Drosophila melanogaster: one gene and its partner. The protein of the gene in region 2 binds, or shares a complex with, the protein of the main gene of each other region. Each region holds a gene or a part of one and is shown on either strand. Other genes may lie near its edges. A codon is read from its position in the direction of its gene.

Region 1 (6,076 bases), on a different chromosome or scaffold from region 2:
TGTGAACAGTTCCGTTCTTGAGCGTCACTTCGAAGTCGAAAGATCGCGTGGATCCGCCGCTGCGGGCAAAGTTCACAGAACTAATCTCCTCAAAGCGGATATGCAGCGGTGGCTTGTGGATATAGATGAATCCTCGCTCCAGGGGATACAGATATCCAGCTGCAGCCTTGAACGAGCAGCCCACTGCAGCCGTGCCAGAGTGTCCGATAAAGTTACCGGGTCCGGTAATTTTTCGACCGATCAGCACCTTCATCACTTTGCCCATCACCTCGTACACCGGCCCGGAGATCTCTTTCTCCAGCTTGCCCTCGTACTTGTCTCGCAACTCGGCTTCCGAGAATGGCAGCTCAATGGTGGTCTCCTCATCGGGAGCAAACAGCAGGACCAGGTAGTGGTAACGCGTTTGTCCCTGCTTGATGGGCGGATCCAAGGAGAGCACAAAGAACATCTGTCGACTGTCTTTGTGGGGCAGCATGAAGAGCCGCAGCACCGAGTCCATGGGAATCTTGTAGTCGAACGTCTTGCCGTGCAGCTGGAAGAAGGTCGAGAAGATCTTGATGTCATAGCGACCGCGAGGCGTGAGGATCTGGATCTCTCTGAAAATGGCGATGGACTCGCCCGAAGCCGAGATGACCGAGGCCTTGCTCATTACGTTCTGGTGGAACTTGTCTACCGGATCCTCCTCGGCCGACTCCACGGCGGGTATGTGGAACCGCATCTCCAGTAGACCCACGGGCGCATCGTCGTTTTGGTGGAACTCCAGGGTGACCTCGTTCTTGCCGGTCACGCACTGCGAAACGTGCGACAGCGGCACCTCGAAGATGGTCTTCGACTCCTTGTCGAAGCTCAGGACGGAGCCCATGAAGCGGGCGGTGCCCCAGTTCCAGCCCTTGACGCACATCTCCTTCTCGACCATCTCCTGCGAGTAGGCAGCCTTGATAAACTTGCCCAGCTTCTCGTGCTCGCTGTCGCGGAATCCGGTGAAGCGGTGGAGCACGCCGCCTTTGGTGAACACCCTCAGTCCCCAGGTGCCCACGAACTTCTGCGAATTGATCAGGTCTATGTCCTCTGCCGAGATCTGCTCCACCTTGCCGGTCTTGGTGTTCTTGAAGATGATGTTCTGCTCGGTCATCTTTAGGCGTCCGGAACACTTTTTTGCGCGCAGGGAAATGGAAAACCTCGGTCATGCGAAATGTGACAAAATACGCCGGCTTTTTTGCGACTCACCAAGACTCCGCGCACTTCGGCGTTTATGTCGTTGTACTCCAGAGAGTCTGTCATCCTGCACTTCTTCCTCTCCAGTAACAAGATAATAGATCAACTATGTATTACGCCGCCTTGCGAAATTGTCACCAATTTACAATAATTCCGGCAGACACAAAACAACACTGCGCGCCTAATTTTAGGTTAGACGCCAGTCAGCTATATTAGAGTGACCGTATGTGTGTTTAGTATTTTTGAGTGCACTATTCTTAAATTGCAATCGATATAAACTCTTAATATTCCAATGCAGTTTCCTTTATTGTTTATATATATCTTGTTTGCAATACATGAACAATATATGAGTCATTATTAAATTGAAAAATTTTAATGGGCAAGCCAGAGCTTATTTAAAGACCATAACAATTCGCTCGATCTTTTAAAATACCAAATTGACAGTCCGAATATAAACGGTCACTTAATTCACTTGTTTACAAAATATTTACCGCATATTTTCAGAGAAATATAGTTTTAATTAAAAATTTGAAAATCCACTTAGCGTGGGGCCTTAAAACTATGCAACGCGGTAAAATTTCCTTCGGGAAAATCAAACTGAATGTAAACGTACCTCCTGCGGAGCCAAGATCCAACGAAACCGAGGCGGAAGATGCAAAGGAGTCCACTGAAGCCAGCGGAAATGGCGGAGGATTCAAGAAAATGGACAAGGAGCAGATGATTCGGCAGATCGAGGACGTGGCCGAAGATCTGGAGAGCCAGCACCTCAAGGAAGTGATGGGCATCAGTGGCTTTGGTCGCAAGGCGGCCAAGGTGTTCGACATCAACGAGCAGATAGAAAAGGCGAGAGTTACCCGCCCGGGAATGGACAAAAAAAGGGAGGAGTCCAAGCCGAAGGAGGATGACCAGAAAGACGAGGAAGAGGAGGACGTAATAGGTCCCCTACCACCAGCTGTGACCACAGACAAGGAGAAAGCCACGAAGGAATCGTCCAAAGACGAAGACTCCGATGACGATGATTATTCGTCCGATGAAGATTCAGATGACGAACAAAGCCTTGCTAAGCGCATACCCTACACACACGAGGTGCAGATGCAGCACGGTTCCCGCGCTGTCCTTGCCCTGGCTGGCGATCCCTCGGGTGCCCGCTTGGTCTCTGGTTCCATAGACTACGATATGTGCTTCTGGGATTTCGCCGGCATGGACTCGAGCATGCGTAGCTTCCGGCAACTGCAGCCGTGCGAGAACCATCCCATACGTTCTCTCCAGTACTCCGTGACCGGCGACATGATCCTGGTCATCTCCGGAAACGCCCAGGCCAAGGTCCTCGACCGCGATGGATTCGAGAAACTGGAGTGCTGCAAGGGCGACCAGTATATCTCGGACATGTCGCGCACCAAGGGCCACGTGGCACAGTTGACCTCCGGCTGCTGGCATCCATTTAACAGGGAGCAGTTCCTGACCGCAGCTCTCGACGGTACTCTGCGCATCTGGCAGGGATTGAAGTCCAAGGAACAGTTGCAGGTGATCAAGACAAGGGCGCAGGGAGGCCTCCGCACCAACGCAGCATCATGCAACTTTAACAGGGACGCCACACTCATAGCAGCGGGCTGCGTGGATGGTTCCATTCAGACGTGGGACACGCGCAAGATGTTTGTGAACACCACGCACTGCGTCAGGGATGCGCATCAGAAGGGTTCGGAGATCACCTCCATTGTGTTCTCGTACATGGGTCAGCAGTTGGCCACTCGCAGCAACGACGAGACCATGAAGCTTTGGGATCTGCGGCAGTTCAAACAGCCGCTGCATACCTGGACAAACCTGTTCTCCCGCTACGACACAACAGATTGCTGCTTTAGTCCAGATGACCGTCTGCTAGTCACCGGAGAATCGCTTCCGAAGGGCCAGGCCGAAGCGAACCTGTATTTCTACAGCACTAAGAGCTACGAGGAAGTGCAGCGGATTCCCGTGTCCAACGCGCACGTGGTGAAAACGCTGTGGCACCCAAAGCTCAACCAACTGTTCGTGAGCTGTGGCAATGGAACCATTAAGTGCTATTACGATGAGCACCGCAGCATCCGGGGCGCCAAGCTGTGCGTAGTGAAGACGCATCGCAAGAGGCAGCCCATGGAGATGGTGGGAGTCTCCCAGATCATTACGCCGCACGCCCTGCCATTGTTCAGGCAGGAAAAGTCCCGTACCTCGCGTAAGCGGATGGAGAAGGCCCGTATGGATCCTGTCAAGTCCCAGCGACCGGACTTGCCCATCACCAGCGGTCAGGGCGGCCGCGTGGCCAGCTCCGGCGGCACCCTCTCCTCCTATGTCATCCGCAATCTGGGCCTGAGCAAGCGGGTGGACGACGACCAGGATCCCAGGGAAGCCATCTTGAAGTATGCCAAGGACGCAGCCGAGAATCCTTACTGGATAGCACCGGCCTACAAGCAGACGCAGCCAAAGGCCATCTTCTCCGAAAAACTACCCGCCGACGAGCCGGCCACCAAGAAGCCCAAGACAGAGGCGGACAAATAGGAAGTCAATCTATTTATAAGAGCTTAGATATGTTAATAAACTCGTTACGACGTAAGAACTTTAGCTTAGCTTAAAATACAAGTGTGTGGATCTCAGACCTCCTGCATTCGGTAGCAATCGGAGACGACCTTCCATTTATCATTCTCGGCGGTAACGATGAAAGTCTGCTGAAATTTGCGTAACTGCTGATCTGCGAACTTGACGGAGCCGCTGGCCATGATGAGGTAGGCCAGCTGGTTGGACACAGCCTGATCCACAATAGGCTGCGCGTCCAGGGTGTTCAACTGGTGGTTTGAGGATGGCAGCTCCTGAAAGTAGCTCTCGATCATCTGGCGGCCGATGGCCCCGTTTCCATTCCAGCTAAGCGTAGCATTGTCCAAATAGAGGCGTCCAATTTGCTGCAGGTGGAATCTATTTGAGTTTCGTTTTCCCATGAAATGCAGACTTTCAAGGCGGATCTCTACTTACTTGGCGTCGGTTGTCCACGGAGGCGTAGTACAGGCGTGTGAAGGTATCCGCCGTACGGGCGCAGCTCTCGACCTTGGCTTTCAAATCCTTTAAACAAATAGTTGCTATGCTAAATTGCTAAAAAACTAAATATTTTCAACTCACGCTGTCCATGTTTCCCGCGATTCTCGAATTAGAGTGACCGTCCTCGGGTGGTCAGAAAAAAACTCTCCAGAAAGAAAGAAACAAAAATATTACTACCACCATTTGAAATACAAAAACGCTACTAATCTACGTGAGTACCCTTAATATTTATTTAAAGTTTAAAAAAGTCAAGATGTTCAAACACTTAAAAACAAGTTTATTGCAAACATTTTCTGCAAATTGCCCGAAAAACAAATGATGACTTTTATTTTTCAAGTTGTTTATTTCTAATCATAATTTTAATTAACAATTAGACACAATTTAAAGCATAGCGATCACAATTTGAATTGGTAACCTAACATTTGAAGATTCCCTGTCGGAGTGGCCCATTGGGGGTCACTGGAAAATCGAGCGAGTCTAGGGCGACTACGAGGCACTGCGGCTAGAACTATGAGTATGGCTAAAACTAGCTAAGCTAAGACCTGTTTTAAGACTAAAGCCCCCCGACCTAGGCCTCCAGCCCCCGGGTGTCCTTCAATGGCTCCAGGGGCTGCAGGTTGACCGTCTTGTAGCCTCGATCCCGCCGGAACCAGAGCCAGTTGTCCCCGTTGAAATAGTCCTCGATGTGCTCCAGGCTGCGGCCCTTCGTCTCCGGCTGGAAAAGGCACATAAAGGCAGTGAGCAGGAAACTGGACACGCCGAAGACCAGGAACACGCCGCGCATCTTGAGCATGGCCTGCAAAGCGGGAAACTTCTTCGCGAAGATGAACAGAGCGACGTTCATGGAGGCAAACACTCCGCCGGCAGTCCGTCCGCGTATCCTAGCCGGGAAGAGCTCGCCGATCATAATGCCGGGCATCACCATCAGAGCCGTGTTGAAGATGATGTAGCCCAAGAGACAGCCGGCACCAACGAATACGTCGTACGACATTTTCGGTTGATCGAATCTGGCATACTGATAGACACTGAGCACCAGGCAGAACAAGCCGGAGCCGATTCCCGACACTATCATGATCCTGCGGCGGCGAACGAAGATCAGGACTACGCAGAAGACCATGCAGCAGATCACCCGGACAACTGCCGTCGCAATGGCCGCCTGCTTGGAGTCGAACTCCGCTCCGAACTCCGAGATCATGTCCACGGCATAGAAGATCACGATGAACGTGCCGGAGAACATCTGCAGCAGCGAGAACACGATCACAATGACCAGCGGCTTGATGGCCACGCGCTGGCAGCACAGCTGGAAGATGTTCTCGTTCGTCTTGGTGGTCACCCGCTCCTTGGCCAGCCTCTGCTTCATATCATTCAGCTCCTTCTGCGCACTGATCTCGCTGCCCCGCAGGAACGAGAGGGCCTGCAGCGCACGCTTCTCGTGGCCATTGCGGAGTAGCCAGGCCGGAGTCTCCGGTATAAACGAGATAGACACCATGGACAGCAGGGGCAGCACGTTGGCGCACCACGCAACACTACGCCAGTACATCATGGAGCCCAGGGAGTAGACCATTAGGATGCCGCTTGAGTAGGCCACATAGGGCGCGCCGATCAGCAGACTCCGCAGATTGGGTTCCGCCGTTTCCGCAATGTACACCTTCGAGAAGGTAAAATAAAATAATGAATGAAGGCCAAAATAGTAAGTTTATATAGTAAGTCTACATTAATCCTAATCCAGCTTATCCACGTTGACCATCAATTATATAAATGATACTATTACTATTACTTTCTGATACATGACCACCTTGAA
Region 2 (8,212 bases):
GCTCGTCCTTGTTGCGCCGCCGTCGCCGCCTGCCGGACTTGGCCTTCTTCAGCGGCTTTTCGCCATCCAGCGGCTCCTGTTTCAACCGGAATTCTCCGTCATCATCATCCCCAGCGTCCTCCTCGTCGTCGTCGTCGTCATCATCGTCAAGGTCACTGTCATCGTCTGCAAAACCATCGAACCGCTCCTCATCGCTAAGCGGCAGCTCTCCGCTGACATGGAGCTTCATGAAGTCTTCCACTCCCATTGGCGCCTCGTCATCGCTGCCCACAAGTTGATTCTCTTCCTTAATGCTGAACTGAGAGTCGCCGATGGCAATGTGTTCGTCTGAAGAATGATAAATGGGTTCTACATTTCTCTGTTTATCTAAGCATACCACACTTACTCTTCACAGTCCGATCGATGGAAGTTTCCGCTTGAGCTTCTGCCTTCTCCCGCCGTCGACGCTTCTTCTCGAGCTTTAGCTGCATGGCCAGGTCGACTTCTTCCGCCTCCAGGCAGGGTTCCGGCTTGATGTGCAGCCACAGCGTTTGATTGGCCCCATTGGCTTCTTCGCCATCATCTTCGTTACTGGAAATGGGATTCGTATTGCACTGAAAGGCTTCCCCAACGACTTCATCTTCGTTATCCTCCTCGTTTAACAGCACCTCCGCAGAGACCAGCTCATCTCCGCCATCGCTGTTCATAGTATTCTCGTCCGCCGGCGGCCAGGTGCGCAAAAGATCCTCCTCCACATCCCGGTGCTGATTGCGTATGTGGCGCAGCAAATGATCCCGCCGGCTAAAGGTGCGTTGGCAATGGGCGCACTGTAGACGTGCGGTCTGCTCGTGGCTGCGCGCCAAATGGCTGCGCAGCTGTCGGAGATGCGGGAAATGCTGCGGACAAAATTTGCACTTAAAATCCTCGGATGGCAGGCCATCTGTGCCAGCCGACGTGGCCTCCTTGGTCGTTCTGTGCACCTGGTTGCGGTGCAGCCTGAGCTCCAGGCTGTTGAGGAACTGGTCGTGGCACATTTCGCATGGCAGCAAGGCCACCTGATCCGTCTGACTGGCCGCCTCGGCTCCTCGCGCCTTCAGCTGGGGCGACCGGCCCAGCAATGCGACCAGCGAGCAGTAGGAACGCTCCGCGTGCCGCTTGAAGCGGTAGGCGTTGCGGGCCGCCTCCACGCAGGAGCTGCACATATGTGGGGGCATGCCGTCGTTTCGCTCGCACTGGTGCAGGGTGCACTCGTCCAGGATGCGGGCCAGATTTGCGTCCTGCTCGACGGGCGTTTCGTTGAAGATGAAGTGTAGCTCCCCCTCCAACGATACATCCTTTAGGCACACGCGGCAGACGCGCTCCGCGTCCACGGTGTCCATTGTGGTCAGGGGCTCTAACTGGGAAACCAACTTGCTGACCGCCGGCTCAGTTTGCGCCTCCTGGCACGAACCCAACTCCAGCTGCGGCTGCGGCTGTGGCGTTGCCATGGCTGTTGCGCGTCCTTCGATCTTTGCTATTGCATGTGGGCATCGACAATTAGCACAATTGCTGCTGAATTTTCATAATTTTTCTTTTATTTTAACAATACGAAGCGTTTGTTGTGCTCGCGAGTGCCGTCATACTGGGTGCGCCATTTGTTGTGTTACCGAGTTCGGCCACACTGCGTAAATATCGATATTTTTCATGTTGCCGATAGCTTTTTTAAACCAGATTTGCATTTTACAAACATTTTCTAAACATTAAATAAATATATAAAGAAATTCAAAAATAATTGTAAAATCACAATATTTGGAGTGTTTATTTATTTTCTCCAACCTTAATAGCTCAACAAATTAAACGCTCTCGAAAAGATTATCAAGGTAATTATTATTTACAAGATGCGATAGTTAACTAAGGAATGTCATTTTAAGGTTTCAATTTCTTTTCCAGCACCCGCGTCCACAATCAATGTCAACTGCCCTTTGGTCGGATTCACCCACGCAGCGGGAAACTTCTTGTCCAGATCGACAAACACACTCTAAAAAATATAATAACAACAAAAATAAACCTTACAAATGAAGTTTTTGAATTGTGGTTAAAAATATCAGATTTCTTGCTCATATTCTTTTCCATCTTATCAAGCTAAAGAGACCTCACCTTGACGACACTGGCTTTTGCGGCGCCCGTAACCACGAAGGCGACATTCCGTGCCTTATTGATCAGCGGCAGGGTGAAAGTGATCCGCTCGGGAGGCGGCTTGGGCGAGTTCCGGATGGGGATAACCAGGCGCTTGGTCTCCTGCAGGGTGGCTGGCTGCTCGGGAAAGAGGGAGCAGGTGTGGCCATCGGGTCCCATGCCAAGCAGCAGCAGATCGAAGCGATCGACTTGACTTTTGACCTTCGCCTCGTAATCTGCGGCGCAGGCGTCCAGCGGTTGGCTGGTATCGGCGCGGACGAACTGGGATTCCTGGATGCAGGGCAATTGGGTTAGCCACTCGGCCCTGTAGGCACCATAGGTGGAATCGCTGTCATCCAGGCGAACATACCGCTCGTCACAGAAGAAAAACACCCATTTGGCCGTTTTTAAGTTGCACGATTTCAGGGCTTTCGTTAGCAACTGGACGAGGGAACCACCTGTAAGCGAAACAAGACACTTGACTTTGGGAGCACAAGTTTAAAGATCGCACCTGGCAAGGTCACCCCTCAAGTTTGGCTTATCACAAGCCAACCCACTTGACCTGCATGACCTGTGCGTTGATCCTTACCCGAAAGTCCCACGCTGAACTTATCATGTTTGGCCAGCGCCTCCTGGGAGCAGCGCTGGAGAAGATCGCCCAGGGCCTGGACAAGTTGCTCCTCCGAAGCGGACGGGATTACTTTTAGCGCACCCTTTTTCTCCGACATATTGCTTGATCTGATAATAAAACTCGACTCGACTTCGATTTGTCAGTAATCACCATTCCCTCTCTCAACTATCGATTACCAATTTATGAAATACATTGCACCGTTTGCGACAAAATGAAAGTAAGTAAATCTTATACGAAAACATTTCACTACCTCTATTCGTAAAATAACAACTTATTTGATATTGAGCAAAAAAGGAGTGTGTACGTGTGTGCTACAACTATATAATATTTAAAGTAAGAATGAGGTAACTCTCTTCAAAACAGTCCAATAAAATAATATTGCATTCTAAAGTTTAACTGCAACAAAACAAAAAATAGCCAATAATCTTTAGATTTATCGCGGTTGTTCTGCGCTAGAGTGTCATCACTGATTACGACCTGTGCGATAGTTGGCCCGCCATCATCGATAGACCTGTCAGAAATTAAGAAAACAATATCAACATCAAGCGAATATACTTCGCTCGCTACATATTTCTAGTTAGTTTTCGTAACTTTTTCGCTTTGGTGGCAATTAAATCAAATTTCCTCGAAGAATAACTTGTAAAAAGGTCGCAAACATCCGTCCAGTTTCTGCCAACCATCGGCCACTGGCTATCGAAAGAAGATCGCTAGTGAATTAAATTTCACAAAATTGCGTTGTACTTTGGCCGTGGAAATTTGCCAAAAAACAGCAGCTACTTTGCTGCTATATTAGCAAATAGGTTCAGGAAGTCGAGAAAAATTTTTCCAGAAGTTGGCAGCAGTTTGTGTGAATGCAAAAAATACATCGCACATAGTTTTTTGCCCTCAAGACAGTTTTCTCAGTAATAACAACAGCACCCACACAAACACACAACACCACTCAGCTAAAAACGTGCTGAAATTCGCATATCTTTTTGTTGCATACGTTTTTGAGTGAATATTAGTAAGATGCCCAAACGCGGCGGTGGCAGTAGCCAGCGGTACAACAACAACGTTGGAAATGGCGGCGGACGTTACAACGCTCCCGAGGATTTCGATGATTTTGGTCAGTACACGGGAGTGCAAGAAAATGAACCCTCCAGTAACCTAAATATAATGTATTCCTATAGATGTGGAGGATCGCCAGCGACGCAAGGATCGAAACAAGCGGCGCGTCAGCTTTAAGCCCTCCCAATGTCTACATAACAAAAAGGACATCAAGCTGCGACCCGAAGATTTGCGTCGATGGGACGAGGATGATGACATGAGCGACATGACCACGGCCGTTAAGGTGCCCACCAACCCCACATGTTATCCCTATGCACATTTCTAATCTAATGTATAATTAATTCCAACAGGATAGACCCACCTCCCGACGTCGGGGATCGCCCATTCCGCGCGGCAAGTTCGGCAAACTGATGCCCAACAGCTTTGGCTGGTACCAAGTCACGGTGAGTTTGGACTACCATGTCATATAGATATCATAGCCGCAATGGCCCAGACCAAAATCATGTGATTTAATAGTAGTTTTATTACTAAGCTAAAGAAGCAAAAGCATTCAGTCCTCCAGCACCTGTTAGATTTATAACGTTCGCCATTATACAAATTAATCGACTGTTCTACTGGATGGCTCTTCTTATGCGAAGTACATATATGTTAAATGTAGTTTTAAGTATTTAGATTACTAACGTCACATAAAACTTCCAGAAGTTTGCTCCAGTGCTCTACTAATTTCCCGCCCCTACATAGAACTACAAACCCCAGACTGGTCCATATAGATACCAGATTTACGACAGCAGTCATAGAACTATTTTTGGTCTCCAAGAACATCATGTGATTCGTCTGATGGCTTTTTTTTTTTGTTATTGGCAAAAGATCGCGTTGAGGGAGCAAAGTATCCGGCAAGAATCGCATAAGTTACAGCGAAATGTTGAGACTTATTTGTTTATTTGTACACTGCTTCCAAAGCTCCAATGCCGACTTGCCGACTGGGCTCTTTGTGTTTATTAATTAATTTCCCTCGTAAAAATCGTAAAGCAAACAAGCCAAAGTTGGGCCGGGGGGATACCAGCTCTACACAGCTAACGACAATCGGGTACTACAATTACAATTGCAATCCGACGAGCGGGCAAATAAATATTTATGGATGGCTAAACACAGTCGTCCACAGTACCAGCCACAAGTGTTTGTCGGCACGAGCTAAAAGTGCAATGAAGTCGAGCCTTTGGTGGTTTGACAGTTGCCATGACCCTCACCTAAATGGTTTCCCATTTTAAGGGCTTGCGGGCCTGCGGTTGGGTTATCCTTCGCCTGGTTGTCACCCTATCCAGCCGCACGTGGTGCAACACAACAGGTCGCTATCTCTCGACGGGGTCGTAAATGCCATAGTAAAATGCCCAATGCTGACTCTCCACCAACAAAAGCTTGCGGTTTCATTCCGTTTGGGCCTTTATTTCATCGACGGCCGGCAGACGGTGAAGACGTGTTCCAACGTCCGACGCCCCATAGAATATATCGCTTGAATCTCAAGAGGCCCGATTAGGGGCAACTTATCAGTTTGGAGTGATTAGATGTGCGACTAGGGTTCCGTCGGGAAAATCAGCCTAACACGTGCCCCACTTAAAACCCGGCATCTGCAATGGCTACTTTGGGCGCCTGGGACTACACGATCCTGGCGGTGGTGCTGATCATCTCCGTTGCGATTGGCATCTACTACCGTTTCGTGGGCGGCAAGCAGAGCACCACCACCGAATATCTTCTGGCGGATCGTTCCATGAACGTGGCGCCTGTGGCCTTTAGCCTGATGGCCAGTTTCATGTCGGCCGTCACCATATTGGGCGTATCCATGGAGAACTACCAGTACGGTACAATGTTCGTCGTGATCAATCTGTCGTATGTGTTGTCCACGCCGGTGGCCGCCTACCTCATCATTCCGGTCTTCTATCGCCTAAAGACGGCCAGTGTGTACGAGTATCTGGAACTGCGGTTTGGCTATGCCACCCGATTGGCCGCCTCGCTGAGCTTCTCGCTCCAGATGGTCCTATACATGGGCATTGTGGTCTATGCGCCGGCTCTGGCCCTGGAAGCTGTCACTGGACTGAGCCAGGTCTTCTCCATCGTAATTGTTGGAGTCGTGTGCACGTTCTATGCGACGCTCGGCGGAATGAAGGCCGTACTCATCACGGACATCTATCAGTCGCTCCTCATGTTCGCCGCTGTCTTCAGTGTAATCATCTGTGCCTGGGTGAAGGCGGGCAGCTTGGAGGTGATATGGCGCGTGGCGCAGGAAAACGGACGCATCAATCTGACCAACTTCAGTGTGGATCCAACGGAACGTCACACTTGGTTCACCCAGATTTTAGGCGGATGTGCCACCTATTTGGCCATCTATGGTGTGAATCAAACGCAGGTCCAGCGCCTGATGGCGGTGAAGAGTTTGAGTGCCGCTCGAGCGGCCCTGTGGTGGTGCCTGCCCATTCTGTGCCTGCTTAGTCTGAGCACCTGTTTCTCCGGTCTGTGCATCTACTGGTACTACCGCGACTGTGACCCGCTGCTGGAGGGTAGAGTCAACTCGCGCGATCAAGTGATGCCGCTCTTTGTCGTGGACACGATGGGCGAATACACCGGTTTGGCTGGCCTCTTCGTTTCGGGAATCTTTTGCGCCAGCCTCTCCACGATTAGTTCGATAATCAGCTCGCTGGCAGCCGTCACCCTGGAGGATTACCTCAAGCCCTTGGTCAGCTGCTGTGCCAAACGCACGCTCACCGACCGTCAGACCTTGTGGTACTCCAAGCTGTTGTCCCTATTCTTCGGAGCCCTCTGCATTGGCATGGCCTTCATGGCGGGATCAATTGGCGGACTACTGCAGGCGGCACTGTCAATCTTCGGCATCATTGGAGGCCCTCTGCTGGGCCTCTTCACGCTGGGCATGTATGTGACCAAGGCGAATGAAAAGGGAGCCATTGGTGGGCTGCTCATATCGCTGGCGTTCTGCTTTTGGATCGGTTTCGGACAACCGAAGCCACCGCTGGTCAGCTTGGATATGTCCACGGCTGGATGTCCGGTGGACAGGAGCTTTGCCCGCGACATTTTCCTCAAGACTGTGATAGCGGTGGCCGAGGAAGAGCATTACTTTTACCTGTACAGGATTAGCTACATGTGGTACGCTGCTTTGGGCTTCCTGATAACCTTCTTTGGCGGATGGCTGTTGTCCTGGCTGTTTGCCCTGCTGAAATGGGACAACAATCGACGCATCTACCAGGATGCGGACTGCACGCTAATCAAGCACGATCTCTTCGTGCCGCCGATAGCCAAACGTTTGCAACGGCGACAAATGCCGCTCCTGGTGGTCACCGGCACCAGTTCGGAGATTGGCGGCATCACGACAGAGAGCGCTACGGCGCCGCCGCGGCTGGACGAGATCGAGTGGGAGAAACACAAGGCAGTGGCGTAACTGAACACATCACCTTAGTAGTTTTTTCTTTTGTTTTTTTTTTGTAGCGCCGTTTTGACCTTAGTTACTCTCCATTAGCTATCACTGCAAGAAATAATAACTTTGCTGTACAATAATACGGTTTAGTTTATTTGCATTTCTATACGAGTCTAAAAATGAGGCAAACTATTATTTGAAAGAATTGCTGCTGGAATTACAATGCTCCTTATAATGTTCTAAAGAAAGTCAGGTCGGAGAATATCATATAGTTGCCATAGTATGTATATCTGCATGGGTCATCCCACTTCGTTCTCCGTGGAGCGTACTACTAGCCTTTTTCTCTTGTCACACAAAATATATATATATATATATATGTATATATATATTAAGTGAACTTTGGCTTTAAATAAACGAGCTTACTCATTAAGCAACTAAATTAACGCTCATCGATGGCCTGATTGGGCTGCTCCTCCGGTCCTTTGGCATTGTAAACATTGCGATTCTGGGACAGATGCCATAGGGCTAGCAGGCGGGCCAGCTCCGTGTAGGTTAGCTTGCGCAGATCACGTCGATCGGCCAGCTTAACTCCGGCGGCCTCTAGCTCCTCCACCAATGTGACGGCATCGTATTCATCCTCCGGATTCTGCTCATTGCGTGGCGCAATTTTTCCGACGAACTCCGACTCTGGCACCGCTTCGCTCTTCACCATGCGCTGCATCTGCTGCACATGCTGCTGTTTATGCTGACGTTGCTGACCCAATGGCTCGTCGACATCTTTTAGCTCCTGTTCGGGATTCATGGGCAGCGAATTGGCCAGGCTGACCATGCCGAGGATCACCAGGAAGATGACCGGAATATTGTTGCACCCAATGGGTTTCATGTTTACGTCCGACTGCTAGTAGCTTTGCTGTGGCACTGCTGCCCGCCTGTCGCATGTCGATCGATCGTGGCCTGGACTCGACTCTCGGGGTGCGCTC

The links.
Region 1: the proteins of sbr (region 2) and Nxt1 are in contact, whole or in part, in a crystal structure (PDB 6IHJ), measured with the Drosophila melanogaster proteins. Residues at the interface, in NP_524660.1 of Drosophila melanogaster: Leu359, Leu360, Glu361, Thr362, Lys363, Ala364, Ser365, Tyr366, Met404, Leu405, Ser406, Ile407, Ser408, Met409, Pro410, Gln414, Arg426, Asn427, Leu428, Arg429, Arg438, Thr439, Leu442, Tyr444, Thr467, Val468, Asp469, Thr471, Ile472, Met477; in NP_611833.1 of Drosophila melanogaster: Met1 (codon at 4,365), Leu5 (codon at 4,296), Val9 (codon at 4,284), Glu10 (codon at 4,281), Ala13 (codon at 4,272), Asp17 (codon at 4,260), Arg21 (codon at 4,248), Thr43 (codon at 4,112), Ser45 (codon at 4,106), Trp46 (codon at 4,103), Asn47 (codon at 4,100), Gly48 (codon at 4,097), Asn49 (codon at 4,094), Gly50 (codon at 4,091), Ile52 (codon at 4,085), Tyr60 (codon at 4,061), Leu64 (codon at 4,049), Leu71 (codon at 4,028), Asn72 (codon at 4,025), Thr73 (codon at 4,022), Leu74 (codon at 4,019), Asp75 (codon at 4,016), Ala76 (codon at 4,013), Gln77 (codon at 4,010), Pro78 (codon at 4,007), Ile79 (codon at 4,004), Val80 (codon at 4,001), Asp81 (codon at 3,998), Leu91 (codon at 3,968), Met93 (codon at 3,962).

Annotation. Positions count from the first base shown.
Region 1 is NT_033778.4:23,807,583-23,813,658, forward strand, and holds Nxt1 (NTF2-related export protein 1), read right to left. Parts: upstream 4,393-6,076; 5' UTR 4,366-4,392; coding exon 4,357-4,365; intron 4,300-4,356; coding exon 4,213-4,299; intron 4,156-4,212; coding exon of another isoform or gene 4,143-4,155; coding exon 3,837-4,142; 3' UTR 3,745-3,836; downstream 1-3,744. Other genes in the region: Ssrp (structure specific recognition protein), read right to left, coding at 1-1,150, 1,228-1,281; CG5543 (uncharacterized protein), read left to right, coding at 1,777-3,744; pippin, read right to left, coding at 4,844-5,923.
Region 2 is NC_004354.4:10,842,149-10,850,360, reverse strand, and holds the start of sbr (small bristles), read left to right. Parts: upstream 1-3,268; 5' UTR 3,269-3,772; coding exon 3,773-3,869; intron 3,870-3,933; coding exon 3,934-4,094; intron 4,095-4,161; coding exon 4,162-4,254; intron 4,255-5,279; exon of another isoform or gene 5,280-5,441; coding exon of another isoform or gene 5,442-7,256; exon of another isoform or gene 7,257-7,671; coding exon of another isoform or gene 7,672-8,115; exon of another isoform or gene 8,116-8,156; intron 8,157-8,212. Other genes in the region: CG2202 (uncharacterized protein), read right to left, coding at 1-327, 386-1,466; Pgls (6-phosphogluconolactonase), read right to left, coding at 1,880-1,996, 2,116-2,591, 2,723-2,861; CG32669 (uncharacterized protein), read left to right, coding at 5,442-7,256; CG15209 (uncharacterized protein), read right to left, coding at 7,672-8,115. UniProt on the Drosophila melanogaster protein: Mediates the export of the majority of mRNAs from the nucleus to the cytoplasm. In ovarian follicle cells, plays a role in transposable element silencing regulation by enabling the nuclear export of flamenco (flam) transcripts and subsequent piRNA biogenesis.